4 linked regions of the Macaca mulatta genome follow. The protein of the gene in region 1 interacts with the protein of each later gene in a pairwise test. Links are inferred from orthologs where the notes say so. Each region holds a gene or a part of one and is shown in the gene's direction. Other genes may lie near its edges.

Evidence for each region.
Region 2: the proteins of HABP4 (region 1) and YBX1 interact in a two-hybrid assay, tested with the Homo sapiens proteins (2 studies listed by BioGRID and IntAct). The link is inferred for Macaca mulatta from reciprocal best matches to the Homo sapiens genes HABP4 and YBX1.
Region 3: the proteins of HABP4 (region 1) and RACK1 interact in a two-hybrid assay, tested with the Homo sapiens proteins (2 studies listed by BioGRID). The link is inferred for Macaca mulatta from reciprocal best matches to the Homo sapiens genes HABP4 and RACK1.
Region 4: the proteins of HABP4 (region 1) and C1QBP interact in a two-hybrid assay, tested with the Homo sapiens proteins (2 studies listed by BioGRID and IntAct). The link is inferred for Macaca mulatta from reciprocal best matches to the Homo sapiens genes HABP4 and C1QBP.

Annotation. Positions count from the first base shown.
Region 1 is NC_133420.1:127,028,042-127,035,885, reverse strand, and holds the start of HABP4 (intracellular hyaluronan-binding protein 4), read left to right. Parts: upstream 1-3,338; 5' UTR 3,339-3,461; coding exon 3,462-3,813; intron 3,814-7,844. UniProt on the Homo sapiens protein: Ribosome-binding protein that promotes ribosome hibernation, a process during which ribosomes are stabilized in an inactive state and preserved from proteasomal degradation.
Region 2 is NC_133406.1:198,073,906-198,081,625, reverse strand, and holds the start of YBX1 (Y-box-binding protein 1), read left to right. Parts: upstream 1-2,747; 5' UTR 2,748-2,886; coding exon 2,887-3,052; intron 3,053-3,187; exon of another isoform or gene 3,188-3,686; intron 3,687-3,723; coding exon 3,724-3,787; intron 3,788-7,720. UniProt on the Homo sapiens protein: DNA- and RNA-binding protein involved in various processes, such as translational repression, RNA stabilization, mRNA splicing, DNA repair and transcription regulation.
Region 3 is NC_133411.1:190,282,414-190,290,236, reverse strand, and holds the start of RACK1 (small ribosomal subunit protein RACK1), read left to right. Parts: upstream 1-2,609; 5' UTR 2,610-2,713; coding exon 2,714-2,822; intron 2,823-3,109; exon of another isoform or gene 3,110-3,177; intron 3,178-4,154; coding exon 4,155-4,326; intron 4,327-4,608; exon of another isoform or gene 4,609-4,687; intron 4,688-4,802; coding exon 4,803-4,950; intron 4,951-6,423; coding exon 6,424-6,519; intron 6,520-6,846; coding exon 6,847-6,957; intron 6,958-7,749; coding exon 7,750-7,823. UniProt on the Homo sapiens protein: Scaffolding protein involved in the recruitment, assembly and/or regulation of a variety of signaling molecules. Interacts with a wide variety of proteins and plays a role in many cellular processes.
Region 4 is NC_133421.1:6,937,971-6,945,837, reverse strand, and holds the start of C1QBP (complement component 1 Q subcomponent-binding protein, mitochondrial), read left to right. Parts: upstream 1-3,418; 5' UTR 3,419-3,471; coding exon 3,472-3,703; intron 3,704-4,286; coding exon 4,287-4,437; intron 4,438-7,529; coding exon 7,530-7,623; intron 7,624-7,867.

The DNA of each region.
Region 1 (7,844 bases):
GTATACAGTTAAGTGTCACTGCATTTCCATTGGTGGTAATAAATAACCACTGGAATATATATAATAACCATGAAGGGCTGGTAGTATTATTCAGCATCCACACTTCACTGCTTTTTTGATGTGCTTTGTTTTTCTATGCTATACGGATGTGTGTTTTTGTTTGGTATTATGATTACTAAAGGCTGTTTTCGTATATCAGATTATGAGAAAGATCAGTCTATTAGACTGACCACATTAAACACAATGTGTGAACAACTTATGCTAATGTGGTAGAGTTGTATTTTAGGAATGCATTTAAGGATGCAATCTCCCAGAAGAAAATAATGGTCAGTAAAAAATATGAGGCTGCTTAATGTTACTCTCAGTAAATTGTGCAGTAGTCAATAGCCCCATAAGAAACTCATGGCCATGGCCGGGGCACGGTGGCTCACACCTGTAATCCCAGCACTCTGGGAGGCCAAGGTGGATGGATCACGTGAGTTTGAGACCAGCCTGACCAACATGGTGAAACCCTGTCTCTACTAAACACACACACACACACACACACACGCAAAAGAAAGAAACTTATGGCCAGCTAATACCAGGTAGAGATTACTCATCTTTATTTCAGTGGTTCTGAAGATGTTCTGAATCCTGAAGCAACATGAGTTGGCTGTCTTACAACTGTTTGGGGCATTTGTGACTTGGAAATGAGGCGGCAGTGCTCACAGGGCATGCTTTAAGAACTTACAGTGGCTGGTTATGCTGGAAGGAAGATAAGAAGAAAACGGGGGAGCAGGCTAACTCCAGATGCCCAGTGGGAAGACGACAGGCCCTTCTCTCACATGGCCATGATTCCTTGGTTTTGTGGTTTGGTGAGCAGTTTAAAGATACCAAAGATAACTTTAGCTTGAAGCAGGGCTTCTCAAAGTGTGGTCTCTGGTGCGTGGAGTGATTCTGGTTCATTGAGATAAATTTACTATTTTTACAAAAAAAATTTACTATTTTTACTAAATTTTACACGAAATGTACTATTTTTACAATTTTAAAGTGTATAACTCAGTGACATTTACTAAATTTACAATTTTGTGCAACCACCTCCACTATCTTGTCCCAGAACACTTCATCGCCCCACAGGAAACTCCCAGGCCCATTAAGCAGTTACTTTCCAACACTCCCGACCCCCACGCCTGGCAACCACCAATCTGCTTTCTGTCTCTATAGATTCTGGACATTTCACATAAATGGAATCATACAACGTGTGGCCCTTATTGTCCGTCTTTCACTTAGCACTACGTTTTCAAGGTTCATCCATGTTGTAACAAGTATCAATACCTTTTTATGACCAAATAATACTTTTTTGTACCACATTTTATTTATCCATTCATCGGGTGACATATATTTTAGTTGTTTCTGCCTTTTGGCTATTGTGAGTAGTGCTGCTGTGAATATGTATATACAAGTTTTAGTTTGAACACTTGCTTTTAATTCTTTTGGGTAGAAAGTATAGGCATTAATCTTTGCTCACTCAAAAGGAGGTGACCAAATATCTTAAATTCTTCAATCATTCAACAAATATTTACTGAAAACCTACTCTATAGCCGTCTAGAACTCCAAGCACTGGGAATAATACATACTGCAATGAATAAGACAGGCATCATCCCTGTCCTCCTTGGGAATAACACAGAATTCAGTAAGTGAGTAAAACACAGACTTTGCCGCGTTTAGGATTAGGAATTCCTTTTCTATTTGCTATTAAAGGAAAGTAAAAGCTGGTCACAGAGCACCTGGCAAGATGCTCTAACTGGATGCTTTCAGATGAAACAAACACAACTAAGCGCAATCAATCTGTTATCTTACATCATAAGCCTCAAGCGGGGAGGTTCCCAAGTGGGTCCAGTTGGCAGCTTAACATCATCAAGGATCTAGGCTTTCTCCATCCTGCTCTGCCATCCTCATGGCCACACTAAGGAACAGCCAACCTCAGGCATCATATCTTCTTATGGAACAAGGACCAGGGAACGGAAGTGGGGCAGATCCCTTCTCAATCCCTTCTTAGGTGCAAGAAAAACTTCCCCAGAATACTTCTCCTCAGATCTGTTCTGGCTGATTTGCCCCACAGCCTATTCCTAAGCCAATTATTGGCAAGGAATTGGAATCAGGTGCAGTGAATTATAATCAAGTTGGAGGCTGGAAGGGGCCTGCTTCCCCTGGGGAATATGATGCCGGAACATAATACAGGCTCTGGAAAAATGTAAGAGGGAAAGAATGGCTGTAGGATAGGCAGCCAAGCGTAGCTCCACTGGTGCCTATGCAAGATTTCCTGGAGGAAGTCCAGTCCAGCGTTCTCTAAGCTCCAGGCCTCAACTGAACATCTCAAAAGAAAACAAATATCCAAACCTCAACGTGTCCAAAACTGAATTCATGATTCTCGTTAAAGTAGTGTCTTCCAGTGGTGACTAATACTACCATTCAGATGCTGGAGCCAGGAAAATAAGAGTCACCATATCTTCTTCTTCATCACCACATCTAGCACATCACCAAGTCTTTGAACCCATCTACTCTCTTCACCGCCACCGCCACCATCCTAATCCCAGTCATTATCAGCTCTTCCCTCGAGCTTCGCAACAGTCACGTTTGGCTTCCCAGCATGCATTTGTATTTCCCTCCAAACTATTAGTTCACAGTGCAGGTAGGGTGGCCTTTTCAAACCCAAATCCGCTCATGCTCAAAACTTGCTTCCCACGGCTCTTAGAGACCACTTTGAGCTTGAACAGACTGTGCACATCCCACCTCAAGACTGCTGCACTTGCTGTTCCTCCTCCGACCCCTTGTCACCCCCCTCCCTCGGCTTAACTGTCACTTCCCAATTAGGTCAGGTCCCTTTGCTGCAGCCCGTGGAGAGCTCTGCGCCTGTCCTTCAGGGCACTTTTTCTCCATCCACAGACTCAGATCTGTGACAACACGGAGCTAGTATTTCCTACAACATCACGCCTGGCACACGGTAAGTGCGCAATATGCAGCTGTTGCACGGCTAAATGTATACATAAGCTTCAAAGCAGAGTGGCCGAGAGCAAATACAGACGCAGTCACGGGAGAAGGCACACACCGCCGAGACACCACCGCCACTCCGCGCCGCCTGGACCAGCCAGTAGCTCCGCCCCTGGGCCCCGCCCCTCCCTGCTGAGCGGAGGGGGCGGGGCTCAGAGGTCGCGTGACGTGACAGCAGCCGGTCGGTGATTGGGTCTCCAGGCGCGCCGTCTCGGGAAGGGGGCGTGCCCGCGCGCGCTGATTGGCTGCCTGGCGCGGTGGGGCGGACGGCGGCGGCGGCGCCGCGGGGGCGGGCGGCGGGAGGGGCCGGACCGGGTAGGGCCCGGAGGGCGGCGGCGGCGGCGGAGCGGGCGGCATGGGTCCTCGCCGCCGGCTTCGCTGAGACGCGCTCGCGTGGGCTGCCCTCCCGGGCCCGCAGTGGTCGCGGCGGCATGAAGGGCGCCCTGGGGAGCCCCGTGGCCGCCGCCGGCGCCGCGATGCAGGAGAGTTTCGGCTGCGTGGTGGCCAACCGCTTCCATCAGCTGCTGGACGACGAGTCGGACCCGTTCGACATCCTGCGCGAGGCCGAGCGCCGGCGCCAGCAGCAGCTGCAGCGCAAGAGGCGCGACGAGGCGGCGGCGGCGGCGGCCCGGGCCGGTCCCCGCGGCGGCAGGAGCCCGGCCGGGGCCTCGGGCCCCAGAGCCGGCGCGGGCGGCCGGAGGGAGTCGCAGAAGGAGCGCAAGAGCCTCCCGGCGCCCGTCGCTCAGCGGCCCGACAGCCCCGGGGGCGGCCTGCAGGCGCCGGGTACGCGGGGACGGCGGGGGTAGCGGGCCACGGCTCGCCCTGCGGAGAGACTGGGGTCCCGGGGGCCGGCTCCAGGAGGGGGGACCCGGGAGGAGCCGGGAGAGTTGAGGGTCCCGGTGGCCGCCGAAGGTAGGAGGAGCGGGGCGGGGGTCACACCCCTTCCAACCCTCGCCGGCCGCGTGCGGGGCCCCGGGGGAAACGCTGGCTTGGGGGCCCCCGAACCCTGGCTCGGAGCCGCTACGGCAAGTTGGACGAAGTTGAGGGAGGTTGCCGGGGTGGCGTGTGGGGGCGAACGCTGAGGTCGCTACTCCGGGACTCCCGCATCCAGACCTGGCGGGGACCTTCTCCAGCCTCCAGCCCCGCCTCTGCGGGAGTGAGGTCGGAGCCACCCGAGAGCGCGGTGGGGAGGAGGAGGGCGCCCGGTCCCGGTCCCGGAGGCCTCTGTGATGCGGGCGGCCTGGGCGACCGCGGGGCGGCCTGTGACGTCGGGGCCCGGGCGCGGGTCCTCGGCGCTGTCCGGCCTGGCGCCTTCGCCCCTTCCCCGTCCGGTAGCTTCCAGCAGGCAGCGGGCATCGTATTTCAGTACTTCTTGTGGTGCTGATGGGATGTGCAACTTATAAATAGCTCCAGGCTGCTTTAAGAAAAGCGTTTTTAACCTTTCCAGCCAGAATATCCGGAGTTCCCCACTCCCTGTTTAGCAAGAAAAGCCAGTGCGCAGCGTGGTGTCCTGCTGCCTGCGGACGGGGAGGGAGTTCGTGCTCTCACCTGAACTGCGTCAGTGGCGGAGCCAGCAACGCTCCACCTGTGCTTCCTCTGTTTTCTTGAAATGAGGCAGCGGTCCCAAGGTTTGCAGAGCGTTAGGAGTGAGATGTGTAGATTGACCATTCCTGCCAACGCTTGGCGGAGTGTGCAGCGTGGCTTGCTGGTTTGTTCCTTGCTTGATAAAAATTGTGCATCGCAGCCCTGAGGAAACGTCTCAGGTTTCAGTATTGGGGCTTTGATGCGCAGCTGGGTAATGTTTACCTTTGTTTGTGAAAAGTTAAATCCAGAGTCATCACTTGTGAGAATCAAGTCACTACAATAAAGATGTTGAAAATGATTTAAAAAAAAAAAAAAGTTATTGACTATCTCACGAGCCTTTGATAGGCCAGTAAATTTCTGAGCAGATTATCTAAACAGACTGGAGATACATTGTGCATTTTATATCCTGTTTTTTATGTTTTTCTCTTAAATTTATTTACATGAATATAATAAAAGAATTGAGGAAGGCTAAGCTTTTCTTCACCCTTTATTTTTTCACAAATGAAAATGCTGGGCGCGGTGGCTCACGCCTGTAATCCCAGCACTTTGGGAGGCCAAGATGGGCGGACCGCGAGGTCAGGAGATCGAGACTATCCTGGCTAACACGGTGAAACCCCGTCTCTACTAAAAATACAAAAAGTTAGCCGGGCGCGGTGGCAGGCACCTGTAGTACCAGCTACTCGGGAGGCTAAGGCAGGAGAATGGCATGAACCCGGGAGGCAGAGCTTGCAGTGAGTCGAAATCGCACCTCTGCACTCCAGCCTGGCGATAGAGCGAGACTCCGTCTCAAAAAAAAAAAAAAAAAAAAAAAGAAAATACGTATTCTGTTCTTCAGAAAAACGTGAGACGAGTTAGTGCTGTTAATACATTGATTTTTAGCCTTTTAAAAATTGTCATGCATTTTTGTATTAAAAATTTTAAGCAATTCCAAAATGTATGAGGTTAAGTGAAAATCCTCTTATTTTTCCTACTGTTAACACTTTGCATTTATATACATAAATGCACAGAGCTATTTCTTTTCTTTCTAAACTTAAGTGATATAAACTGGGTTGCAACCTGTTTCCTGCACTTAATGTTGTCACGTAGTACACTTATAACTTTTTTTTCTGTCAGTTGTTCAGTCTAAGTGATCTGGCTTTTGAAATCAAAGGTATTTAGTTGATTTTGTAGTTAGAATGGAAATTTTATCATTCAAGTTCTTTTTCAAGTATGTGTTATTTCAGGAGCAAACAGCTCATTAATTTCCATTTATGTAGTTACTGTACTAAATTTATCTATAATGGGTGTCAAAGAGCTATTCTCTCAAGGTTTTATAGCCCTAGTTGATATGAAGCACTGTACTTTTCTAACATTCAAAATTTTTGATTTAGTTAGAATGTTGTAAGTGAATGCTTAGCATAGACAAAAATAAAACATGTTTGACATATCATAGAAATGTTAATCCTGAAAGAATGTGGAAGTCACAAGCTTTTCCTATGGAAAAGGGTTGTTTTTTTGTTTGTTTTGTTTTTTTTTCTTGAGACAGAGTCTTGCTCTGTCGCCCAGGCTGGAGTGCAGTGGCATGATCTTGACTCACTGCAACCACCTCTTGGGTTCAAGCGATTCTCCTGCCTCAGCCTCCTGAGCAGCTGGGACTGCAGGCGCGCGCCACCATGCCCAGCTAATTTTTGTATATTTTTTACTAGAGGCAGGGGTTCACCATGTTGGCCAGGATGGTCTCGATCTCTTGACCTCATGATCTGCCTGCCTTGGCCTCCCAAAGTGCTGGGATGTGAGCCACCGTGCCTGGCCTAATTTTTTGTATTTTTAGTAGAGATGGGGTTTCACCATGTTGTCCAGGCTGGTCTTAAACTCCTGACTTCAGGTGATCCGCCTGTCTAAGCCTCCCAACGTGCAGGTGTGAGCCACGATGCCCGACCAAAAATGTAGATTTTTTAATGTCTATCTGTCTAGCAATATATATAAACCCTTGGGTGAGCCTTGCTCAATAAGTTCATTCTTTTTTTTTTTTTTTTTTTTTTTTTAAGACGGAGTCTGGCTCTGTTGCCCAGGCTGGAGTACAGTGGCCGGATCTCAGCTCACTGCAAGCTCTGCCTCCCGGGTTTATGCCATTCTCCTACCTCAGCCTCCCGAGTAGCTGGGATTACAGACACCCGCCACCTCGCCTGGCTAGTTTTTTGTATTTTTTAGTAGAGACGGGGTTTCACCATGTTAGACAGGATGGTCTCGATCTCCTGACCTCGTGATCCGCCCGTCTCGGCCTCCCAAAGTGCTGGGATTACAGGCGTGAGCCACCACACCTGGCCTAATAAGTTCATTCTTAAAGTCATGAGAGGCTGTTTCAGTCATGAGAGGCTGTTTCAGTTTTGGTTTTTCTAGCCTTTCAGAATTATGTGCTTTGAAACAGCTCAACTTTATTTTGTGGGAAATCTTACTGTAAATTTTATTGTATTCTGTTTCTTTACCTGGGCTTGGTTTAGATGGTGATGAATGCATGTGCCAGCCTTTTCTTGGCGAGGTTAGTGAAATGCAGTGCTTGCATTCTCCACTTGGAGCTGCTGATCCAGCACCGAAAAGCCCGATTCGTGGCAGTGTTGATCTTTTAGTACTAAATTGTGGGGAAAAAATTGGATGCTGATTATCTTTGTTTTGGGAGGGTTGGGAGGGAGAATGGAGATGTTTGCCCAAAACTGATAATTATTCTAATTATCTTTGTTTTGGGGGGCTTGAGAGGGAAAATGAAATGTTTGCTTGATATTGATAATTATTCTAATAAGTAGCCCATTGTACTTAACAGTTTTCAGTTTATACTGTTCGAAAAGGCTTTAATATGGTGTACAGTAAATGTCCTATTTTAAGTTTGATGAATTGCAAATTTAATTGACACAATTAAAAAGTAACTTGGAGGAAGCAGAAAGGTGGGATAAGCACCTATAAGTAGTTCTGTAGTCGAGTGGAGATAGTAAAAGATGTTTTTAAAACTATGGGTTGGAAATAGGAAATCTGAAACTATGTTAACTCTTTTTACACTGACGTAAAAGTATGGAAAAGTTTTGTTACTGCTGACAAATTTTCTGATGACTGTTATGTCATGATCTATTATAATTTTCAGCTTGTTGGATAATTAACTTTCATAGTGGCTTTTTCTACCTTACGTTGTGAACGCCTTTTCCCGTTCTGAACTCTTTTTTATTTTTGTTTTTTTGAGACAGGGTCTCCCTCTGTCCCCC
Region 2 (7,720 bases), on another chromosome or scaffold:
TCGTAGAGGTGCTGCTGCAATATTTTCTAAGTGTCTTTGTAACTGGAGAAAAGCTCTCAAGCCTATAGGGCATGCTTTTAAATGTCCTCAGTGTTGGCAAAACTGCCTTTTGAGGCAATATTTTAACATTCAAAAGTCATCTGGAGCTGGAACACATGAACAGAGGCTGTGGAATCCACCCACTCTCCGTACACATTGCTGCTGAAAGTCTCTTTCACCTGGATTACTGGCACAGCTGCGCAGATTACCTTTCTGTTGCCAGTACCTTTTTCAATTCATTTTCTACACCATGTCGCTCATTTAACAAATATTTTAAGGTATTATGTGTCAGGAACTAAGATGCCCAAGGAAGTCACAGTCTGGTGGGGAACATTTAATTAGAGCAATACAGTATGTTAGGATGGGAGAGATTCTTAACCTAGGAGCATCTGAGCGAAGACCTAGAGGATGAATTAAGCAGGCAAAGAGGAAGGAGGAAAGGAAGGGTGTTATATGCAGAATTTTATGTGATACTCCAAAGGAAACAGTGGCTAAAGGACTCTACTAGATGAGTCCTTTCTCTACAGTGCCCTCTGAAGCGTGTTTACTTGGCTAGAGAGTTGCAAGTGTCTATTCTGTAGGGCCTTGTAATATTTCACCATCTCCCTTGTCATCTGATACACTGAAGCAACACTTTTAACCAAGTTCTATTGTCACAGAATTCAGCTGTTTGCTACCTCTGCTCCTGCAGTATCCTGCAGCCAGTAGTTACAAGCACCTGGAAGGTTGGACAGGGAATACAAGAGAAGACTCTAAGACTTCTTAGAAATCATAGAGTCCAGTAAACCACATTAAGGAATCTGGACTACCCTAAGGGTAATGGTAGTCACTGGAAGATTTTAAGTAAGACAGTGTCATGATCAGACAGATGTTCTCAAAAGAACTTTCTGGCTGTTGTGGTGAGGAATATTAGAGTAAGACAGAGGTAGAGAGGTGTGGTTAGTAGCCAACAGCACTGCTCTATACTAGGGATCAGCCAACTACACTCCGTTTTTCTGTGGCTCATGAGCTAAGAATACGAATCGTTTTTAAAATGTTTAAATAGTTGAAAATATGTAAAGATTCGTGTCATGTAAAAATTAGGGCTGTTTTCAAGCTCCAAACCTGAGTAGTAAGTCAGAACCATATTGTCGGCCAAGCTTGTATTATTATTTGGTTCTCACAGAAAAAGTTCCTACCCCTTGCTCTAAGCAATTGGCGATGATGGCCTACAGTAGTGGCAGTAGGAATGAAGACTCTGAATTGACATTTAGAGAGTTTAGGACTGACTCAAGAAGGCCTTTAGGAGGTGGAACTGACAGGCCTAGACGGCATTGGTAGGGGTAAGGGATACTGCACTAGCCTCCTAACTGCTTTCTCTACTTCCATTCCTTGCCCCTCTGCAACCCATTCTCCACTCCGCAGCCATTTTTAAAAAGATGCCCCTCCCTACTTACGACTCTAAAATTGCTCTTCTCACTCTTCCCCTCAGGATATATTTCCAATTCAATACACCTAAGTGACTCTGCCCACCTCTGCAACCCAATGTCACATTCGAGTCTTACTGAACTACTTGACTGCATTTCCCGAGATCCCACCTCTTCTCGCCTGTACCCTGTGCGCAGAAAGTCAGCCCTCCACCTTCTCCCTGCTTCTACTCCCAAAATACTTCGTGCTTCTGCAGCTCTGGAGTATTTACCGTGTTGGCTGTTTAAATTTCTGCCTCCATCAGAAGGCAGAAACTGACTCGCGAACTATTCCATCCCCAGCCGATAGTAGACGCTTAAAAAAGAACGAAAGAAGGTGGGTGGAGGACTTCAGTAACATCAGGTGGCAGCCTCAATTTTATCGTTTGTGAAACGTGGATAGTAATTCCTCTATCACATGGCTGTTGTACGAATTAAATGAAAAAAAACATAGGACGCTAGCTTGTTCAATAAATGTGAGTTGAATTAAATCTGATTTGTGGCCAGTAGAAAAACACGTTAACACTTGAAAAGGAAGACACATTTTTAAAAATATATGCCTGGTAAAACGGATCAGAAGGCAGGTCCCCATGGAGCACACCCTCGCCCTAAACATGCTGAGCCCGGGCTGCCAGAGCCTGCGTGGTCCCTCCAAGGTGACTGCTCCGACAAAAGCGTACGCTCTTCAAACGCATACGTTTAAGGCAATTCCAGAAACCCTCGGCTGTGCCGCGAGTACACGGCCATTAAAGAAAAGACGACTCTATGCCCGCCGTAATGTTCTCAGATCACAGGGACCGTATTTGGTGCAGGGAGGGAGGGAAGCCTTTTCTTCACGGGGAGCTAAGGCGTCGTCGAGCCCCCTTCCAATCCCGGGTCCGGCCGGGTAATCCCTGCCCAGCGTTCGGGCGTGCCTTTTTTTCAGCCGAGACACAACCCTGAACGTCGGGCCCGCCAGCCCGTCGACTGCCTCGTGGAAGTCACGTTCCCTCTGCCCGTCCTCTCAGGTACTCTATGGTTTTCGTGGCCGACTACTCTAATTCTAGTTCCGGTCTCTATGGCGGCCGGCGGAGGCAGGAACGGTTGTAGGTCGGCTGAATTAGCCGCCAGACAGCCAATGAGAGTGGAGGACTGATAAAATGTTAGTCAATAGAAGCCAGGGACTGAGGTCAGGTGGGCAGATTGACAGTACCACCGGCCAGTGAACAACGCCTAGGGCGGGTCGATCGTAGGGCTTATCCCGCCTGTCCCGCCATTCTCGCTAGTTCGATCGGTAGCGGGAGCGGAGAGCGGACCCCAGAGAGCCCTGAGCAGCCCCACCGCCGCCGCCGGCCTAGTTACCATCACACCCCGGGAGGAGCCGCAGCTGCCGCAGCCGGCCCCAGTCACCATCACCGCAACCATGAGCAGCGAGGCCGAGACCCAGCAGCCGCCCGCCGCCCCCCCCGCCGCCCCCGCCCTCAGCGCCGCCGACACCAAGCCCGGCACTACGGGCAGCGGCGCAGGGAGCGGTGGCCCGGGCGGCCTCACATCGGCGGCGCCTGCCGGCGGGGACAAGAAGGTCATCGGTGAGGACCGGACAGGGACGGGGGTGGGGCCCTCGGGCAGCCTGGCAGCGGAACCGTTAGCCGGGGCTGGGCGAGCCGGCGGGCGCGCGGCCGGTGGGGACCGACTCCGCGGCGCGCGGCCGCCCCTCCCCCCGCCCCCCCACTCGCTCTTGCGGGGGCCCGCCCGGCAGGCGCGCGCACACTGCCTCCCGCGCCCCCTGTGGACCCCGCGCGGCCGCGCGCCCCTCCTCCTGCGGCCGCGCGCCGCCGACCGCGTGTGCGACGGGGTCCCCTCCCCGCCGACTGGCCTCGTGCGCTCGGGCCCGCACGCCGTTGTTCGCGTCTCCCCCACCCAGCTCCCTTCCGCGTGTGCTCGGAGAGCGCGGCGCACCGCCTACGCAGTCCGGAGCGGCTTCCCCTTCCCTCACGTGCTCTCCGTCCGCGGCCTGCGAACACACCCATCCTGGGCCCGCGCCCCGGGCCTGCCCGGGAGCGCCCCGCGCTTCAGACTCACCCACGTGTGCGGCGGCGGCGGCGTGGCCCCGGCGCGGACCCGCACCCAGGCGGTGGAGAGAAAGGGCTGTCAGGTGGCCGCGGCGGGCAGCGTGCGAGGGACCGGATGCCGAAGCGAGACGGGTTTGGAAAAGGATAGCTGGTAATCGTGGCTTGTTTTGCTTTGTTTTCTTTTCCAGCAACGAAGGTTTTGGGAACAGTAAAATGGTTCAATGTAAGGAACGGATATGGTTTCATCAACAGGTGAGCTGCTGGGCTCTGAAGCCTCCATCCTACCTTCTTGCTTGCTTCTTGCTGTGCCAATCCACAGTCCTCTTCTGAAAGGCGTTTACTACCTCTGGTGTATTAATGTGATTTTTTGTCTGTTTGTTTTCCTTGACGACTGGAGGGATTTGGGTTTAGAGAATGCCTTTGTTTTGCAGCTAAATATTAATTTGAAGCTAACTTCAAGGGCTTCGTCACAGCACAAAGCAATTTAAAAGGCAAGCGGAGTGAATGAGCCATTCCTTAACAGGGTAAACGGGAAAGTACGGTCCAGTAGATTTTTATTCTTGTCATCCTTTTCTACTTTATTGAACTCGGTATTTGAGAATGTGATCCACTGACATCGGATATTTACGCCTTGTTAACATTTTGGGGGTAAGAGGATTTGACGTGTCAAGTATATGAGGTTTTGTCATCTTTACCGAGAGGTTGTATTGCCTTTGTTTCACGTTTCATTTTAATACCTGAGATAAATTCTGTATTAGCACAGCTTTGACCAGAGAGAACTGTTTTTATTTGTTCATAAATAATATATCTGCAAGAAAATGGTTTTTTTCCTTCAGTTCTTATTTCATTCTTCCTTGTCCTAAAATCATGCTGATGAAGTCAATTTCCGCTAGATCCCTGGCTGTAGCTTATTAGAGTGGCCATAGTCACTAGTAACTTGACATTGTTCTTCCTGTTTGAAGGTAAAGCTGCAGATACGTCTTTAGGACTTACCCTTCGGGTTGTTTGTGGCAGTGGTGGTGGTAACGTGCAGTAGACGCACAGTATTCCATGGGCTTCCTTGTGAGCCGGGCATCATTTTCAAGATGGCTGCCAAGGCTAGTAGTGCAGTTACATGGGTGTAGAGCACTGGGTATGCCAGTAGCAATCTTGGCCTCACAGGTATGGTACTTAAGTGCCATCTCAGCATTCTCTTGCTTACTTACTGTAGAAGACCTAAGCAGATGATTAAAAGAACAACGTGGAATGGACAACAAATGGGCAAAATCAAGCTTAAGGACAGATTCATGGCCTGATGAAAAACTGTTCATTAATCAATCATAGAGTATTGTGGAAATACTTAAAGTAAGAGATAAGCATTTGATGATCTATTCTCTACTTTTGCAATTGTGGGAAAACATTTTGTTTCTTCCAGAATCTTAGGATTTTCCAACTTGTTCTATACTGTTTGCCTTCCTGGCTGGCTGAAACTACGGTTTTCATTAATTTTTTGATAAAAGCTTACTAGCAAAGAAGAAAGGGAATGCTTATATATGATTGGTAAACTGATAGCTTTTTAACTGATCTGTCTGAATTTGTTAGTGTTTTAGTTTGTATTTGTGTCTTACTGACTGTCCTTACTAGTCTAACTCTTAAACCAGTGGTTTTCAAATTTAAGTGTGCTTACCTTGGAAGGGTGTGATTTAAGTGGTGTATTTCTTCTGAGCTTTGGATTCATTAGGTCTGGGTACATTTTTAACAGGAATGATAATGGTCTTCGGGCCATACCTTCAAAATCACTGCTTTTAACCCTTGACCCAATGTAATGGTAACTCTGGTGTGCAAATATGCATCCTTTTCAGCAGATAGATCGCAGTTTTTGTATGTGTTTAAGAAGTTTTAGCATGTGCCTTGTTTCGCTGCATTTTTTTTTAAAGTGGGCATAGGTTATGACATTTTTTGAAATCAATAGTTTTGTCCAAAATAAGAGTATTATCTTTACACTTTATAAGTATTTAGTCCATGAGATACTATTCATTGAATATCTCTGTTCTGAATTGGAATCAACTCAGTTGGTCATCCTCCAGGGCAAGTTATGAATTGGCTTTTGATGGTCCTTTGGACTATCCTAACCTCGATTATTTTGTCAGATTAACTGGTTAAAATATTCTTTATGCTTCTGAACTGGTTGTTTTAATTATTCTGGGATTTTTTAATAAGATGCTGTAAACTCTGACTCCAATTAAATACAGGGAAGATTTGCTTTAATTAAGGAAAATGTATGTGTTAAATCAGTTTGGAAGCTAGCAGTTGGTTCTATATGTAGTTCCTGTAGTAGAACGAATGGACTTGGCTGGAGGCACCTGGCTCTTATGAGGGAGGCAGACTGACTGACACATAACGTGCTGTTTTCTGTATAAAGGAGAGAGTGCAGTGTTTGGGATGACTATTATGACGACTTTTAATTGCTGTTTTTGGATACGCTGGATTATATATTCCAGGATTGTACGGTATTTTTATAATTACAACATTGTATGTAAATTTTCTGCCTTTAAAGACGCAATTTCATTGTAAATGTGTTTATTCCAGCCTGAATTACCACCTGATGAATTGTTACAACCTTGTTAGAATTAATTCATTAAAGGGCTTCTCCCTGATTGGTTATATTGTGAAGAAGGTGCTAAGTAACATGAGAATAGAGCTTTTAAGAATAGTAGAAGTTTTGGCTTTATTTTGTTAGACTGTGTAATCTAGATATTCTAAGAAATTCATTGAGTTATTCTTTTGTGAACTCTGTCTACAAAACATAATTGGAGAATGTGACTTAGAGGGGTTTATTATGCTCCTCCTATATTACTGTTGAATGTTATTAGTGGTTGAGAATTGATCCATATTCACCAAAGATTACCATGAATTGGCAACAGTTTATGGTGACCAGAATAGGAATATTTTTCTGTTTCCAGAGTACTTAGAATGTCTAAATTAATAATTCTTTATGTTTTGAGGTGAAGAAAGAATTTGGAGCAAAGGTCACAAATTTGTGACCTTTCTAAGACTACTCCCAGATGCTTTGATTAGACAGCACAGTATTTTTTAAAGGAATTGGGATTAATTACTAACATTTATAATTCAGGAGATGACACCAAGTAATCCAGATTATTATATTGTTAAGATCTGAACTTTAGCTAGCTTTGGGGGCTGTATTTCCACATAGTAAAAACCACCTGCCATATTGTCACCACGTTTGGGGGGAGTATACTTTTTTTTTTTTTTTTTTTACAACAGTCTGTCATGCTTAGTTGTCTTAGGTTGCTGACTTCGCTTCACGCCTGGCCTCTGTGTGTGCATTTGAGTTGATTACCCATGGTCTGGGAAGATGTAATAAACCAAGCCAGGGAAAGGTTTAGTTCTCTTTAGTCACGCCTATCAGGTTTAAGTCTCCCTTTGGAGTGGGGGCTGCCTTGTGGGGATTCTATATGTACATAACTGATAGGTGACTTCCTTCACATGTTGGTGAAAATAGATACAGCTAACAAGTATTTATACTAGGGTCTATAGTAAGTTGCTTAAAATGAGCCAATTCCCTTAATCTTTAAAAACTTTTGAGGTGTAGGTACTGTCACTCTGAGGCACAAAGAAGTTGTTACTTGCCCCCATAAGCATAGGTGATAAGTGGCAGGCAGGATTGGAACTGTTTTTTCACTCTGGAGTTAGTGTTCACCAACTGCTGTTATGCTGTCTCTGAAATAGACCCTAGCCATTTTCAATTTGGTGGTTGTCCACGTAGTTACAGATAATTTCTTAGGGTGATTATTTTTAGCCATTGAAAGATTCTTAAATGATCCAAGTATGTCACTGGGGCTCTTGCGTGCTGACTTGGTAGTTCCTGGATTTGAAAAGCTTTCTGCCTTTCACTATCTACTTTGTGAAGTTTGGGATTGTTAAAAAGTTCTAGTTTTAGCATGTAGGTCAGCTTTACAAATAAAAGGACTTGCTTAATTCCTGATACTGGGAGGCGAAGAATTGAAGGAGAGAACATTGCACCTTATCTTACTTAATCTTTATGTGGCCTGCAAGGTAAGAATGAATATTGCCTTTTTAAAGGGTGATTTTTTTTTTTTTTTTTTTTTTTTTTTTTTTTTTGAGATGGAGTTTCGCTCTTGTTTCCCAGGCTGGAGTGCAATAGTGTGATCTCACTGCAAGCTC
Region 3 (7,823 bases), on another chromosome or scaffold:
CATTCCCGAGGTCTCGGCCCAGGTCTCGCGAGGCAGGGAAAGGGGGCAGCCCCGGGGCGGAGCGGGAAAGGGGGCGGGGCAGGGTGGGGTTGGGCGTGGCAACCGCCCGCTTCCGGGAGAGGGACCCGCGGCGCGGGAAGGTCTTTTCCTTGGGCGTGGGTCGGGGACCTGCAGCGAGGTTCGTGTTAAACCTGGACTCCCTGTGGAACGTTCAAGAAAAAGAGAACCGAATGAGGTTTCTCGAAAGGAAAAAAGAATGTGACAGTGTAATCTAGTGCTACTCCTCGGCGTTTTAGGGCCCCAACCCGGGAACCCCTCGCACCGCGAATCTCACTCAGTCCACAGCGGGAGGCGGGTGTGGTCGTTGACCTATTTGCGCCCGAGGGCTCAGGGAGGCGCTGGCGTGACCCGAGTCGGGGGCAGCAAGCTGGTTAGCGGGTGGGTGAAGGCAGGGGTCTTCCACGACCACCACAGAAACAAAACACCTGGGTCGGGATTGCGTCTTGTATTGGAAAAGCGAAAGAACAGTCAGCTGGGGGTGCCAAGAAGGCAGGTGATGTACAAACCTGGAGCCTTAGGATGGTCCACAGGCTGCGGAGGAGCACAGCCAGGACAGCGTTCCGCGGGGCCCGACAGAGACTGCGGCGGAAGGCAGGGGAATCTGCCATGGACCAGTTGAGCAAGCTGTTTCAGGGAGGGATCCAGGCCTCTGCACACCTGGGCGTGTACAGCCTGCGGCAGCTCTGCCACCGTTCCTCGCCTGTCTTCTGCCTTTACGCAGGCTTTCTAGCAGACATTGCCAAGGTTCTTCTCCAGGCCTTCAAGGCCGTAGGTTAACTGCGCCCTCCATTTCACTGCTCTGTCCTCAGCCCCTCCACACTCCAGCTCAGTACGTTGGCACTAACTCTTCCCTCCGATTGAAACATTCTTCCCCTACACGACGTCCCTCCACGGAACATTATTCTCCCATATACCCACAGTGCGCTCTCCGTGTATCTGCTCCAATGTTCTCCCCTCTTCGCATACCGCCGGAAGTAAGCTGCAAATAAACCAGAGTCCCCCGTCTGTCTTGTTCACAGCTTTGTCCCCAAAACCTAAAATAAGGCTTGGTACCCAAGAGGTGCTCACTAAGTTTCACAACATTTACTCTGCCAGACGTTGTTCAGGGCGCTTAATTTGCTTCTTTACTTTCCACACCATGTAATGTAGATACTAATGTTATTTCCAATCTCATTTCACAGATGAGAAACAAAAGTTGATAGATGTCACAAATAGAAATGTGACATCTTTATTTTGCATAGATGTTGGTGGCTGCTATCATCCTGATATGTCCTCCTGTTTAAAACTACTTGAAGAGACACGGTGCCCAATACTCTTATAGTCAGATGTGAGAGAATGAGAGTCATTACTTGTTTAAATTCCTGAGGTAGAGTGGAAGGCAGAAGGACAGCTAGGTATCCGTGTTCCACCGCTTCCCTGTCTGGGCACGTCCTTCAGGGTGCAACTGGACCCCCAGACGCCTGGGCTTTTGTGTGCAGTGACTGGGCCCAGAGAGAGCTTTCCAGTGGATGTCCCCAGAAGTCAGAACTTTAAGGTCCTCCTTTGGGCGTTTCCGTTTCTGCGAGAGCTTCCCGTGTTCTGACCTAGGCAGGAATGGATTGGCAGTCTAGCAACACACAGGGCAATTTTCACCTTATTATTTTATTGTATGTATGTATGTATTTATTTGAGTCGGAGTCTCGCTCTACTGCCCAGGCTGGAGTGCAGTGGCGGGATCTCGATTCACTGCAACTTCTGCCTCCCAGGTTCAAGGGATTCTCCTGCCTCAGCCTCCCGAGTAGCTGGGATTACAGGCACCCGCCACCACACCTGGCTAATTTTACTTATTTATTTATTTATTTATTTATTTATTGGAAAGAGGTTGCATCATGTTGGCCAGGCTAGTCTCGAACTCCTGACCTCAAGTGATCCACCCCCTCGGCCTCCCAAAGTGGAATGATTACAGGCACGAGCCACTGCGCCCGGCAAAAAGAGACCAATTTTTAGTACATCCAGAGTAACCCTCTCCTGCCTTAGTCCAGCCTGGACTAAGTCCTTCCGGAGTTGGTGTGCATCAGAACAAAAACCTCTTGAGGGAGGACGGTCCCGCGGAAGCACAGTTTTAAAGTTTATTTTTAAAATTTTAATGCCATACTTTTTTAAATTGCCCATCGTTACCCACGATAGTGAACTGAAAATTAAGCTCTCCTGTGGTTGCCCCGTCAACCCTCCCCGCACCAAGTGGAACAGGCGGAGCTCGAGCTACGCCACATAGGGGCGGGGAAGCCGCCAGGGAGTCCTCATGGGAATGTGCCGTACACTTCACCTCTTTCGCTTCTCGCTCTACATCATCCCTGAGAAGCCTTTTTAAACACTTGAATGTGCTTGTTTCAGAATGTATTTATAAAGCGCTGTCAGATTATGTTGTACGGAAGTGGGGACTGTGATGCCGTGCAATTTCCCTTTGCCTTTTGCATTACATGGCGCCGCCATCTTGAGCAGAAGTGTATCATGGGGCTCGCCATTTTACTTGGTCGAGTGGGTATTTCCGGTTCCGGCAGAGGGCTTCTCTCTTTCACTGCAAGGCGGCGGCGGTAGCGGCTGTGTTGCTCGTTTCTCTGAGCCATCCAGTGCCATCCTCGTCGCTGCAGCGACACACGCGCTCGCCGCCGCCATGACTGAGCAGATGACCCTTCGTGGCACCCTCAAGGGCCACAACGGCTGGGTAACCCAGATCGCTACTACCCCGCAGTTCCCGGACATGATCCTGTCCGCCTCTCGAGGTACGGACTAAGGTAGATTTCAGGACCCGAGATTGCAGGGCTGGGGGATTCCGCGTGGTTCGGGCAGGCCGGTGGCGCGCGCGCTGCCGGGGACTGACAAACTTCTCTGCCTCACTGTGATTTGGGGCGTGCGGACGCGAGCCTAGGCCTCAGCCCGGGCGAACCACATTGCAGATGAGGACCTAGACGTAGAGCGGCTCGTGGCTGTTAGGGTTGGAGAGTTGGAAACTTTTAAAACATCTTCTGCCTTCCCCTTCGTAGTGTGGTCGGGGGCCTACGGGCCGGGCGGGGCGGTGATGACCCCAACATGCCATCTGAGTGTCGGTGCTGAAATCCAGAGGCTGTTTCTGAGCTGCCGCCCGGCCCAAGGCTCGTGGGGAGGCGGGTGGACTCCAGAGGACCTCGTGGCTCAAGTCTCGTCCTACTTTTTCTGCCCCTGGGTCTCCCCTCCCCGTCCCTATCCCTGTGTGCCTGACTGCGTTTGGACACTTGTTGTGCTTCCCCTTTGCTCCTACACTGTTAAGAATTGTGTGACTCTTGAATCATGTCTGGCTGTTAATCGTAAAATTGTTGAGTGGGACAGGTTTCAGTAAAAGCATCCGATCCTGTAGCGCCTAAAGTGGCTTTTCCAGCATTCATTATAACATTTCTGTCGGCCCTCATGGGAGGCATGGGAGGCCCCAGCTACTCTACAGCCACGAACTGCTGTGCATTCGGTTGCAGAGAAGATACGTGGTGGCTGTTGAGTTCGTCTGAGTTTCAGGAAAGGGTGTCTGTAATTTCTGGCACCTAAATTAAGTTCTCAGGATACAGACCGGGCACGGTGGCTCACGGCTATAATCCCAGCACTTTGGGAGGCAGAGGCGGGCGGATCACCTTAGGTCAGGAGTTCGAAACTAGCCTGGCCAATGGTGAAACCCCATCTCTAGTTTAAAAAAAAAAAAAAAGCCAGGCGTGCTGGGGGTGGCCTGTAATTCCAGCTACTAGGGAGGCTGAGGCAGGAGAATTGCTTGAACACGGGAGGTGGAGGTTGCAGTGAGCCGAGATCATGCCATTGCACTCCAGCCTGGGTGACAGAGTGAGACTCCATCTCAAAAAAAAAAAAAAAAAAGAGTTATCACGGTACAGTTTAGCTCTGCGTGCGTTTTTAGTCTGGAATAGAGCCACTCAGTCCTGGCCTGTAACTGCTCTTGTAGTCTGTTGTTCCATCCCTCCTTAAGCATCCTTAGTTGTTAACCCACTCATGACCTTGACACTTAGTGAATTATCCAGTGTGTTAACAAACTGGCTGCGGGTTCCTCACTGGTTTTTCTTCTGTTTGGCCGCTTTTAGATAAGACCATCATCATGTGGAAACTGACCAGGGATGAGACCAACTATGGAATTCCACAGCGTGCTCTGCGGGGTCACTCCCACTTTGTTAGTGATGTGGTTATCTCCTCAGATGGCCAGTTTGCCCTCTCAGGCTCCTGGGATGGAACCCTGCGCCTCTGGGATCTCACAACGCAAGTAGCTGCTCACTTAGCTCTGGGGCCTTGGGAAAAAATCTGGGCAGAAATGTGGTGGATGCAATTGGCTGGTTTCCCAGGGGAGATCCAGTCCATTTGGGAACTGGAAAGCAGACTGCACCTACAGAAGATGTTTGGCCTCCCTCGCTTTGAATTAGTTACTCAGGATTGCTGAGGAGTGTGGTTGAACATATCTACCAGGTGCGACAGTTTTGAGTAGGCAGCAGTTTGAACATGTTTTACCTTGAAAGCTGAGGTGATTGGCAGGTGGAATTAGAGGGTCCTGGTGATGACAGATGACATTGTCAGCCAATCCCCATGTGGGAGTGAGGACATGTCCTGCAATTCTGAAGGGATTCTTTGTCATATATGTGTGAGTAATGCAATGAGACAGAGACAAGGCCCAGGAATCAGTCTGACCCTTGAATGAGAATGTTTGTTAAGTCTGAGAATGACAAAGTCCTCCCTCTTAGGGGCACCACCACGAGGCGATTTGTGGGCCATACCAAGGATGTGCTGAGTGTGGCCTTCTCCTCTGACAACCGGCAGATTGTCTCTGGATCTCGAGATAAAACCATCAAGCTATGGAATACCCTGGGTGTGTGCAAATACACTGTCCAGGTAAAGTGAGGCCATGGTCAGAGAGCACATCTCCAAGGATCTCTCCCACTCTCTTAACCTTTACTTTTTTTTTTTTTTTTTATTTTGAGACAGTCTCACTCTGTCGCCCAGGCTGAAGTGCAGTGGCGCTGTGTCAGCTTACTGCAACCTCTGCCTCCCAGGCTCAGGTGATTCTGGTGCCTCAGTCTCCACAGTAGCTGGTGCTACAGGTGCGCACCACCAGGGTGGTCTCGAACTGAGCTTAGGCAGTCTGCCCGCCTCAGCCTCCCAAAGTGCTGGGATTACAGGCGTGAGCCACCATGGCCTGCATATCTTTACCCTTTTTTTTTTTTTTTTTTTAAAGACAGTTTTGCTCATTGCCCAGGCTGGGGTGCAATGGCGTGACCGCAGCTGACCACAACCTCCGCCTCCCGAGTTCAAGCAATTCTACCTCAGCTTCCCAAGTAGCTGGGATTACAGGCATGTGCCACCACGCCTGGTTTTGTATTTTTAGTAGAGATGGGGTTTCTCCATGTTGGTCAGGCTGGTCTTGAACTCCCAACGTCAGGTGATCTGCCCGCCTCAGCCTCCCAAAGTGCTGGGATTACGGGCGTGAGCCACCGTGCCCGGCTCTCTGCCTTTTTAAAGTCTTGGCTGGGCTCATGCTCTGGTAGGCCAAGGTGGGAGGATTGCTTGAGGACAGGAGAGCAGCCTGGCCAACACAGTGAGACCCCATCCATAAAAATTTTTATTTATTTTGAGATGGAGTCTCACCCTGTTGCCCAGGCTGGAGTGCAGTGTGCGATCTTGGCCCACTGCAACCTCCGCCTCCCAGGTTCATGCCATTCTCTTGCCTCAGCTTCTCGAGTAGCTGGGACTACAGCATGCCCAGCTAATTTTTTTGTATTTTTAGTGGAGACGAGGATTCACCGTGTTAGCCAGGTGGTCTTGATCTCCTCACCTCGTGATCCGCCCACCTTGGCCTCCTAAAGTGCTGGGGTTACAGGCGTGAGCCACCGCACCTGGCCCTTTTTTGAGATGAAGTTTCACTCGTTCATTGCGCTGGCTGGAGTGCAATGGCACAATCGTGGCTCACTGTAAACTTCGCTTCCTGCGTTTAAGCAATGCTCCTGCCTGAGCCTTCCATGTAGCTGGGATTACAGGCACCCACCACCACACCCGGTGAATTTTTGTGTTTTTGGTAGAGACGGTTTCACCATGTTGGCCAAGCTGATGTCAAACTCCTGACCTCAGGTGATCCACTCACCTCGCCCTCCCCAAGTGCTGGGATTACAGGCGTGATCCACTGCGTCCAACCCCCGTCTCTAAATTTAAAAAGAAATTCTTATCTGGAATCTAAAGGGATTCTGTTGACCTTAAAGGTTTGGGTTCTGGGTTTTTGAAAGGTGCTGCCAGCCATCATCTGGCTGGGGGGGGGTCTAGCATTTCATGGGATAGGACTGTTTCCCCTTATTTCCTTTTCATCCTCTGTAGGATGAGAGCCACTCAGAGTGGGTGTCTTGTGTCCGCTTCTCGCCTAACAGCAGCAACCCTATCATCGTCTCCTGCGGCTGGGACAAGCTGGTCAAGGTGAGCTTCAAGCCAAGGCAGGGGCTTTACCAGTCAGGGTGTGCTGTGCTCCCAGGTGGTCATACGCTCCAACTCCTGTGGAAAGCTTTACAGATTCTCTCAGTTGACTCTTTCTCTTGTCACATGGTTTGAAGTAGCTAATTGATGTCCCTTGTAAGTGAGCACACTGCATTGGATGTGTGTTACAATCTAAGGTTAAGTGGCCAGGACATGTTACTGAATGATAAATGGCTACTGTAGCCAGGAATGCCAAGCCCTTTTTTGTTGGACCTGACCCTGGTTGATCCAGAGCCAGGATATTCACCTGTCAACTTCACATCTATGCAGGTATGGAACCTGGCTAACTGCAAGCTGAAGACCAACCACATTGGCCACACGGGCTATCTGAACACGGTGACTGTCTCTCCAGACGGATCCCTCTGTGCTTCTGGAGGCAAGGTATTTGGGGACCAGGAGTCTCCTGCTCAGTGGAAGACCAGCATCATGGAAGGAGCACTTAGCCAGCGTCTCTAACATAAAACGGCAAACATTAGTCAGGATGGTTTCAGGAGGATAATGAGATAATGGCAATCTGAGAATGTTTCCAAAGATTACTTTCAGCAAATGACAGTTAAGGCATACTGTCTGGAAGAAAACGATTATTTTCTATAAGGTTGGGTTTATTTTGAGACGGAGTCTCACTCAGCCGCCAAAGCTGGAGTGCAGTGGCATGATCTCAGCTCACCGCAACCATCTCCCTGGTTCAAGCAATTGTCCTGTCTCAGCCTCCCTAGTAGCTGGGATTATAGGCACCCACCATCATGCCTGGGTAATTTTTGTATTTTAGTAGAGACAGAGTTTCACCATGTTGGCCAGGCAGGGCTTGAACTCCTGACCTCAGGTGATCCACTGGCCTCAGCTTCCCAAAGTGCTGGGATTACAGGCGTAAGCCACAGCGCCCGGCCTAAAGTTGGTTCCTCGAAGCAATTGATGAGATTGAGATCCTGGTTTTCAGAAACGATTAGAGTGATTTATGTAAGTTGGGAGGGGTTTTTTGATAGGGTTGGTAAGGTCTTAACCTTAAAGGAAAGGCATACAGAGATCAATGTTGGTACTTGAGTCATTAGTTTTCAAAGAAGCCTGAGGTAATGGAGGAAAGGTAAGAATTGATTCTGACAGAATCTTGAGATGGGCAGGATTAACATCTGGAAGAAGTCACTGTGTCCTGATTTACCTTACCTGTCTGTCCAGGATGGCCAGGCCATGTTATGGGATCTCAACGAAGGCAAACACCTTTACACGCTAGATGGTGGGGACATCATCAA
Region 4 (7,867 bases), on another chromosome or scaffold:
CCATGGTCTCGATCTCCTGACCTTGTGATCCGCCCGCCTCGGCCTTCCAAAGTGCTGGGATTACAGGCGTGAGCCACCGTGCCCGGCCTTATCTTACTGAATTCTTGAACTTTGAACTAGTTCTTCCACTTACTGACTTGTTACCATGGCTGACTTTCTGAAAAGTTTCCCACAGTTTTTTTTTTTGTTTTTTTTGTTTTGCAGTAGGGGATTAGGATGTTTCGTCCTACTTGGTAAGAAAAAGTATTGTGTTTTTAATAAATCATTCACAGTGCTGGTAAAAAAAAAAAAAAGAAAAAGAAAAAAGAAAATTGTGGGGTGGCTGGGCGCGGTGGCTCACACCTGTAATCCCAGCACTTTGGGAGGCTGAGGCAGGCAGATCACCTCATGCCTGTAATCCCAGCATTTGGATGGGAGGCCAAGGTGGGTGGATTGCTTGAGAAATTCAAGACCAGCCTGGCCAACATGGCAAAACCCCGTCTCTACGAAAAATACAAAACTTAGCTGGGTGTGGTGGCACACGCCTGTAATCCCAGCTACCCAGGAGGCTGAGGCACAAGAATTGCTTGAAGTTGGAAGGCAGGGTTTGCAGTGAGCCAAGATTGCGCCACTGCATTCCAGCCTGGCTGACAGTGCGAGACTGTCTCAGAAAAAAAAGAAAAACCTCGGGGTAATTTATGTCCAGCGTAAGTACCTGAACAGTTTCCAGAAATGTATTTTTTTTTTCTGAGAGGCAAAGGATGTAAACAGCTTCTAAGTAGCTTTAATGTTTCTGTACAGAAATATGTTTATCACTGTAACATTGTGGTAGAGTTTTAATACAGTATTTAGTTTTTTATTGGGCTTTTTAAAAAAGTTAACTTTTAACATAGCTGCTCAGGGATTAAACCAGATTGGACAACCCATTCTGACTCCACATATTACTACAAGGAAATACATCGTTGTTTCTATTGAGCTGCAAGGGATAGTACACTTTACGCTTAAGAAAGTTAAATGTTTCACAATAACATTGCAATATAACCTTCAGCTACTCTTCTTCAATTGGTAAAATCTGATGGTATGATACCTCTTTGCCAACCTACGAAACCCGTATCTGGAAGAGTCACCAGCTCCCGTGAGCAGCTTCATGTAAATAGATGCACTCCAAGCAGATCGCATGCCTCAGGTGTCTGTCTTCTAGTAATCATGGAGTATGCAACACCCAGAGTAACACGACAAGGGGCAGGACTGCAAACAGCAGGTCCTGCTACAAACCCTTAATGCTGCATTGCTGCCAGTTGTAAAGAGATGCCTGAATGGAGGCGAGTTTTGCCCTGTGGGTAAAACTGATGAAGTACTGTACTGTCATATAAATCCACTAAATCCAGCTACCAGGAACTGCCTGGAACTATGGCCATGCATTTTTTTATTTTCTTTAAAGACCAGTGTGATAGCAGGCCATGCATCTGAGATACGATATTCCTTGGTAACTAGAGGGAGGGAAAAAAAAGTCAAGTAGGTTCAGGCGTATGTTGTATTTTGAGAGTCTGGTTTTATTTGAACAGAAATAACTCTACAGAAAGCTCCTGTAAATAATGCTCAAATTTGCACTTGACGATCAAATCCATTAAAAATGAATCTTGTATATGATGTGTATGGCTTGTTTCTTGGGTCTCTTTTCCATTATTCATAGAAAATTATTTAGAAAATATTAAGTGTTAGTCTTATCATGAGTTAGTAAGACACACCTTCTTAGTAGCTTGTATATCCTGGGAAGGTAGGATTGTTGGTTCTTAATCTAAATCTGAACCCCATTTCTGGGTTCTATGAATTTAGTGGAGCAGCTCACAGAACTCAGGGAAACACTTTTACCAGTTTCGTATAAAAGATATGACCAAGGATACAGATGGAGATGAGCAGGGTGGGGAATAGGGAAGAAGCTCCGAGCTGCCACGCCCTCCCTGGGCCACCACCCTCCAGGAACCTCCGCGTATTCAGCTATCAGAGGCTCTCCAAACCCTGTCCTTGGGTTTTTATGGAAGCTTCTGGACCTATCTAAATGATACAAGCCGGCTTCTTGTCCCCAGAAAAATGATGTTCCATTAGAACTTGGATGCAGGGTCGGAGGTGCAGAGAGGGAAGGTCACAGAAATTACTCATGGATCCTGCCCTTCAGGATGTCACAGTCTGGTTGGGTTTAACCCGGTTAAAACCAGCAATGCCAGGAGGTTTCTGTTGAAAAGAGAATGAAGCCTAAGGGCTGGGTGCGCACAAGCATGAGTTCTAAGCCGATGGAAAAAAGGAGGTTCTAGGAAGGCCTCTTTCAGGAAAACCCTGACTTCTTCCTTTGCTCTTACAACAATCAGCACAGAAGAGTTCTGTGACCAAAGGTTTGGGTTTTTTCCCTCCACACTAAGCAGCAGACACGAGCGGGGTGTCCTCCAATTCAATCCCAACATTATCTACCTGGAGACAGTGTCAGATCCCATGAGACAGTGTCAGATCCCATAGGTTGAGGGCTCAGTCCCCAAGACCGCCCCGACCTTCAGACAGCAATGGCAAGTCTGGGCCTCTGAAACTTCCGACCAGCCCGCTTCAAGTGGGGGTTCCCACGACCCCCCTCTTTGGGTTGTATTAACTCACTGGAGCAGCTCACAGAACTCAGGGAAACACTTTTACCGGTTTCATATAAAGGATATTACCAAGGATACAGATGAGATGAGCAGGGTGGGCAGTGGGGAAGAAGCTCCGAGCTTCCTCGCCGTCCCTGGGCCACCACCCTCCAGGAACCTCCACGTATTCAGCTATCAGAGGTTCTGCAAACCCTGTCCTCATGGGTTTTTATGGAAGCTTCTGGACATCAGCATCCCTTCCCCCAGGGTAGAGGGTGGGACCTTCTCTGGGAAGGGACTTAAGACCCATAATCAGAAATGTGGGAGATTAGAGTCCTGCATTGGGGCGGGTGAAAGGAGGGCGGGAGAAGGGGAGAGTGAGAGTCTGTTTCCTGAGGCCTAACACACCCAACATTATCACAGAACACTGTAACGAGGGCTATGGGAGTTACGACCCAGGAACTGGGGATGAAAACCAATAAATACATAATATAACACCACAGCCTCCTAGAGGAAAGTGACCGTGTAAGGGGCTGGTGAGAGCTGGGGGAAGACAAGAGTGCATTCCACACAGCCCAAAAGCCTGGCGTGCCTTGAAAACAGTAGGTGGAAGCGGCCACTAGAAATAATTAAACAGCTTCGGACAGAGGACTCAGGCCAGCGCAGCAAGAAGGCTCCGGAAACCGGATTCGAGGCTTCCCGGGCTGCACAGGAGGCCTCCAGCAGAAGGCGCGATTCCGCCTGGGGCCTTAGGTCCTCAGTGCGCCGGCGCGGGAAGCGCTTCCGGGCAAGGGCGGGGCTTCCGGCGGCGCTTTAGGTCGCGGGGTACTTGGGCCTGGGTTGTCCTTTGCATCTGCACGTGTTCGCAGTGGATTGCGCGATGCTACCTCTGCTGCGCTGCGTGCCTCGTGTGCTGGGCTCCGCCGTCCCCAGCCTCCGCGCTGCCGCGCCCGCCTCGCCTTTCCGGCAGCTCCTGCAGCCGGCGCCCCGGCTGTGCGCCCGGCCCTTCGGGCTGCTCAGCGTGCGCACAGGTTCCGAGCGGCGGCCGGGCCTCCTGCGGCCTCGAGGACCCTGCGCCTGTGGCTGTGGCTGCGGCTTGCTGCACACTGAAGGTGAGGTTCGCGCACGCGGGCCAGGGGTGTGGTTTGCGGTTCACGGAGGGGAAAAGACCAGGAGTGGGGCCTGCAACCGACCTCCGAGGTCTGGGACATTTTTCCATTGATTGGCAACCAGCGGGTTAAACCCACGTGTGATCATATTCCCCCCACCTCCCCTATCCACCAGTTTCATTTTCTGTTGGTAGGGGGGTGAATAAAATTAAATACTAGAGGGTACCTTCATCCTTAGTCTTATTCTCTCGAAAGTGGACTTTTGGGAAAGCCCAAGGTCGTGTTTGAAAATAGCATACGATACAACTATCGTTTGGCAAGTGGAAGAGGATGATCGGAAATTCTTCTGCTTTATAGCGGAAAGTGGTAATGCGTTCATTGTTGGAAATCACTTTTCCAGCATCAGGCTCAGCTTCCCACTAATATTATGGTATTTTTACAGATAAGGAAACTGAGGCTTCTAGAGTAACTGTAATAGCAGAGAGATTAGAAATAGTCCAGGTTTCTGGCTGCGATAACCAGGGTAATAGTTTTATGTTTTAGACTAACTGGCTTTCCTTTTTATGTATATGGATTTCTTTTCTAGGAGACAAAGCTTTTGTTGATTTCCTGAAGGATGAAATTGAGGAGGAAAGAAAAATCCAGAAGCATAAAACCCTCCCTAAGATGTCTGGAGGTTGGGAGCTGGAACTGAATGGGACAGAAGCGAAATTAGTGCGGAAAGTTGCCGGGGAAAAGTAAGTACTGGTCTGGGGATCCCAGGGCACCGACTCCCTTAACCTTGCAAGACCCGTCCTGAGTCATCCCTAGAAGAGCCTTGAGTTCAGGTGTGGATAAATGGTTTTCAAGAGAGTGAAGGATTCAATTGGACAGCTTCATAAGGTCCAGGCAGTCCATTCACTGAACACAAATTTGCTGTGGGCTGGTTACTAAGGAGACAAAAATGTAGCGCAAAAAAGTACTGACAGAATCTGTTTGATCTCTGATTTACAGCCCTGATACAGTAGCACCCTGCTCTCTGTAATGTTTAGCTTGGGTGAAAATGCAAGGCATGTAACTTATATGTAACAGGATGGGGTTCCACTGTAGATAAGGGCTGCCATCAGAGGCGGGGAGTTTGTGACCTAAGTCAGGTGCCCCACCTTCTCCTAAACTGTTAGTGTTTACACTTTTCTGCTTTATAGTCATCCATAATCTCATTACACAGATAAACATTTGTCATCTTCCAGATTTTTAAATTGAGGCTGGGTGCAGTGGCTCACGCCTATAATCCCAGCACTTTGGGAGGCAGAGACGGCAGATCATGAGGTCAGGAGATCGAGAACATCCTGGCTAACACTGAAACCCTGTCTCTACTAAAAATTTTAACAGGGTGTGGTGGCAAGCACCTGTAGTCCCAGCTACTCAGGAGGCTGAGGCAGGAGAATCGCTTGAACCCCCGGGTTTCAGTGAGCCGAGATGGCGCCACTGTACTCCAGCCTGAGGGACAGAGCAAGACTCCATCTCAAAAAAATAATAAATAAATAAATAAATTGAATTTTCTTTATAATTGACCTTATGATGTATATATAATTCTTTTTTAAAATCACAGCTTTAATGTGATTTAATTTATATGGCATAAAATTTACCCATTTATTGAAGTTTATTAAATTAAGTGGTTCTTAGTCCTCACAGAATTATGCATCGGTTACCACTACCTAATTCTAGAACATTGTTGTCAATCCCCAAACAATACCTATTAGCAGTCACTCATTATTCCTCCCTCTAGCCACCCCAGGTAATCACTAAGCTACTTTATGGATTGCCTCTTTTGGACATTTCATATAAATGGAATCATACAATTTGTAGCTTCCTCCCCACCCCACGGAGTCTTGCTATTACCCAGGATGGAGTGCAGTGGCACGATCTTGGCTCACTGCAGCCTCTGCCTCCCGGATTCGGACAATTCTCCTGCTTCAGCCTCCTGAGTAGCTGAGATTACAGGCATGCGTCCAGTTAATTTTTGTATTTTTAGTAGAGATGGGGTTTCGCCATGTTGGCCAGGCTGGTCTCAAACTCCTGACCTCGTGATCCGCCCTCCTCGGTCTCCCAGAGTGCTGTGATTACAGGTGTGAGCCACCCTGCCCAGCCTGTTTACATTTTTAATTGTTGGGTTGTAAGAGTTCTTTAGTTTTGACCGGGCACGGTGGCTCACACCTTTAATCCCAGCACTTTGGGAGGCCGAGGCAGGTGGATCACAAGGTCAGGAGATCAAGACCATCCTGGGTAATGCAGTGAAACCCTGTCTCTACTAAAAGTACAAAAAATTAGCCAGGTGTAGTGGCGGGCGCCTGTAGTCCCAGCTACTCAGGAGGCTGAGGCAGGAGAATGGCATGAAGCCCAGAGGCAGAGGTTGCAGTGAGCCGAGATCACGTCACTGCACTCCAGCCTGGGCGACAGAGTGAGACTCTGTCTCAAAAAAAAAAGAATTCTTTAGTTTTTCTGGGTATAGTGATCTTACCAAATTAATGATTTGCAAGTATTGTTCCCCATCTTGTGGGTTTTCTTTTCACTTTCTTTGTAATGCCCTCTGACACAAAAGTTTCTGATTTTGAGGAAGTTCAGTTTACCTATTTTTTTGGTTGCTTGTGCTTTTTTTAGTGTCACATCTAAGAAACCACTGCCTCGCCCAAGGTTGTGAAGATTTATGCCTTAATTTTTTCAGAGTTTTCTAGTTTTAGCTCTTAGTTGAGGTCTGTGATTCATTTTGAGTATGATGTGAAGTAGGGTACCAATTCTCTTGGCTATTGTGTAGTGTGGTTTTTCCCTACACAGGTCAATTGTGTCTTCTGTAATCTCACCTAAAAACCATTTGCACAAGGTTTTCATAGCTATTTGGGGGCCATTAAAAATAATGCTCTGACGAACATCATTCCATTTCTGTGCCCAGGAGCTCAGCTTGGTCAGCACAGTTGGAATCAGACAGATTGTGTCAACCTCAGACTGCCTCTGTTACTATGGAAAGGTGACTTCCTGGCAAAGCAGCTAGTTAGCACAAGTCGAGGGGGCGGTACTTCATGGAACTTGTATGGAACGGTGCCTGCCAGAGTTGCATAGTCCAGCAGTTCTGGTTCTAAACTTTATCTCCCAGGAATTTTGACTCAAACTTTGGGACATGATTTGTCAGGTGTGGATTCTTGCACCTTAAAATTGTCGCTAGTTGGTGTCTCTGGCCTGCTTTGTGATGATAAAACTTCCCACAAGTACTCTGAAGGATGACTGTCTACTACAGCCGTTTTTTTCTTTGTGAGGCATCCCCTTCCCGAGGCCAGGGCTGCTCTCCGTGTTTAACAGATGCAACCCTCCATTGCTCCTTCTTCCTTTCCTTGCAGGGCAAATTTTCTTATGGGGAAAGGCTCTTAAAGGGGCTTCTGTTCCATCTCACCAGCCTCCCAGGTCCTTACTTTCACCAAGGGTTCCTTGGAAAGACCAGGGTGGGCAGTGTCAGCTGGCTGTGGCCATGAGATGCCCAGTCAACACATGGCAGTGAGCCCTGGGGTACTGGCCCTGTTGGGAGTAACCCATGCATGACTTGTTTGGCTGAGATAAGCTGAGGCCAGCTTTGGCTTCCAGCAGCTGGTACATGGTAGGCACACTTGAGACCTGCTGAATCACTCAGGACTGGATGTAGGTACCAGCCTTGTTTGAAGTTCTGCATATAATTCAGCCAGCTAGGATAGAGACATTGTTTCAGTACACCTTTGTAACTGTAGCAGACCTCCCTGTTTGTGTGTTAACCTACTCAGTTAAAATGATGCCTTGTCTGTTATGTTTTCTCTTGCCCTTTTAGAATCATTGTCACTTTCAACATTAACAACAGCATCCCACCAACATTTGATGGTGAGGAGGAACCCACGCAAAAGCAGAAGGTTGAAGAACAGGAGGTAAGCTTAACACTATGATCAGCTTTTACCTCAGTTCTGACAGGCTGTCCCTGGGACTTAAAGAAGGAGCGTTTTTCTTTGTTCTTTAAAAAAAAAAAAATTTTTTTTTCCTCTAAGGCCAGGCACGTGGCTCACGCCTGAATCCCAGCACTTTGGGAGGGCAAGGTAGAAAGATCCCTTGAGGCCAGGAGGACCAGCCTGAGTAACATGGCAAGACCCTGCCTCTACGAAAGTTTAAAAAAAA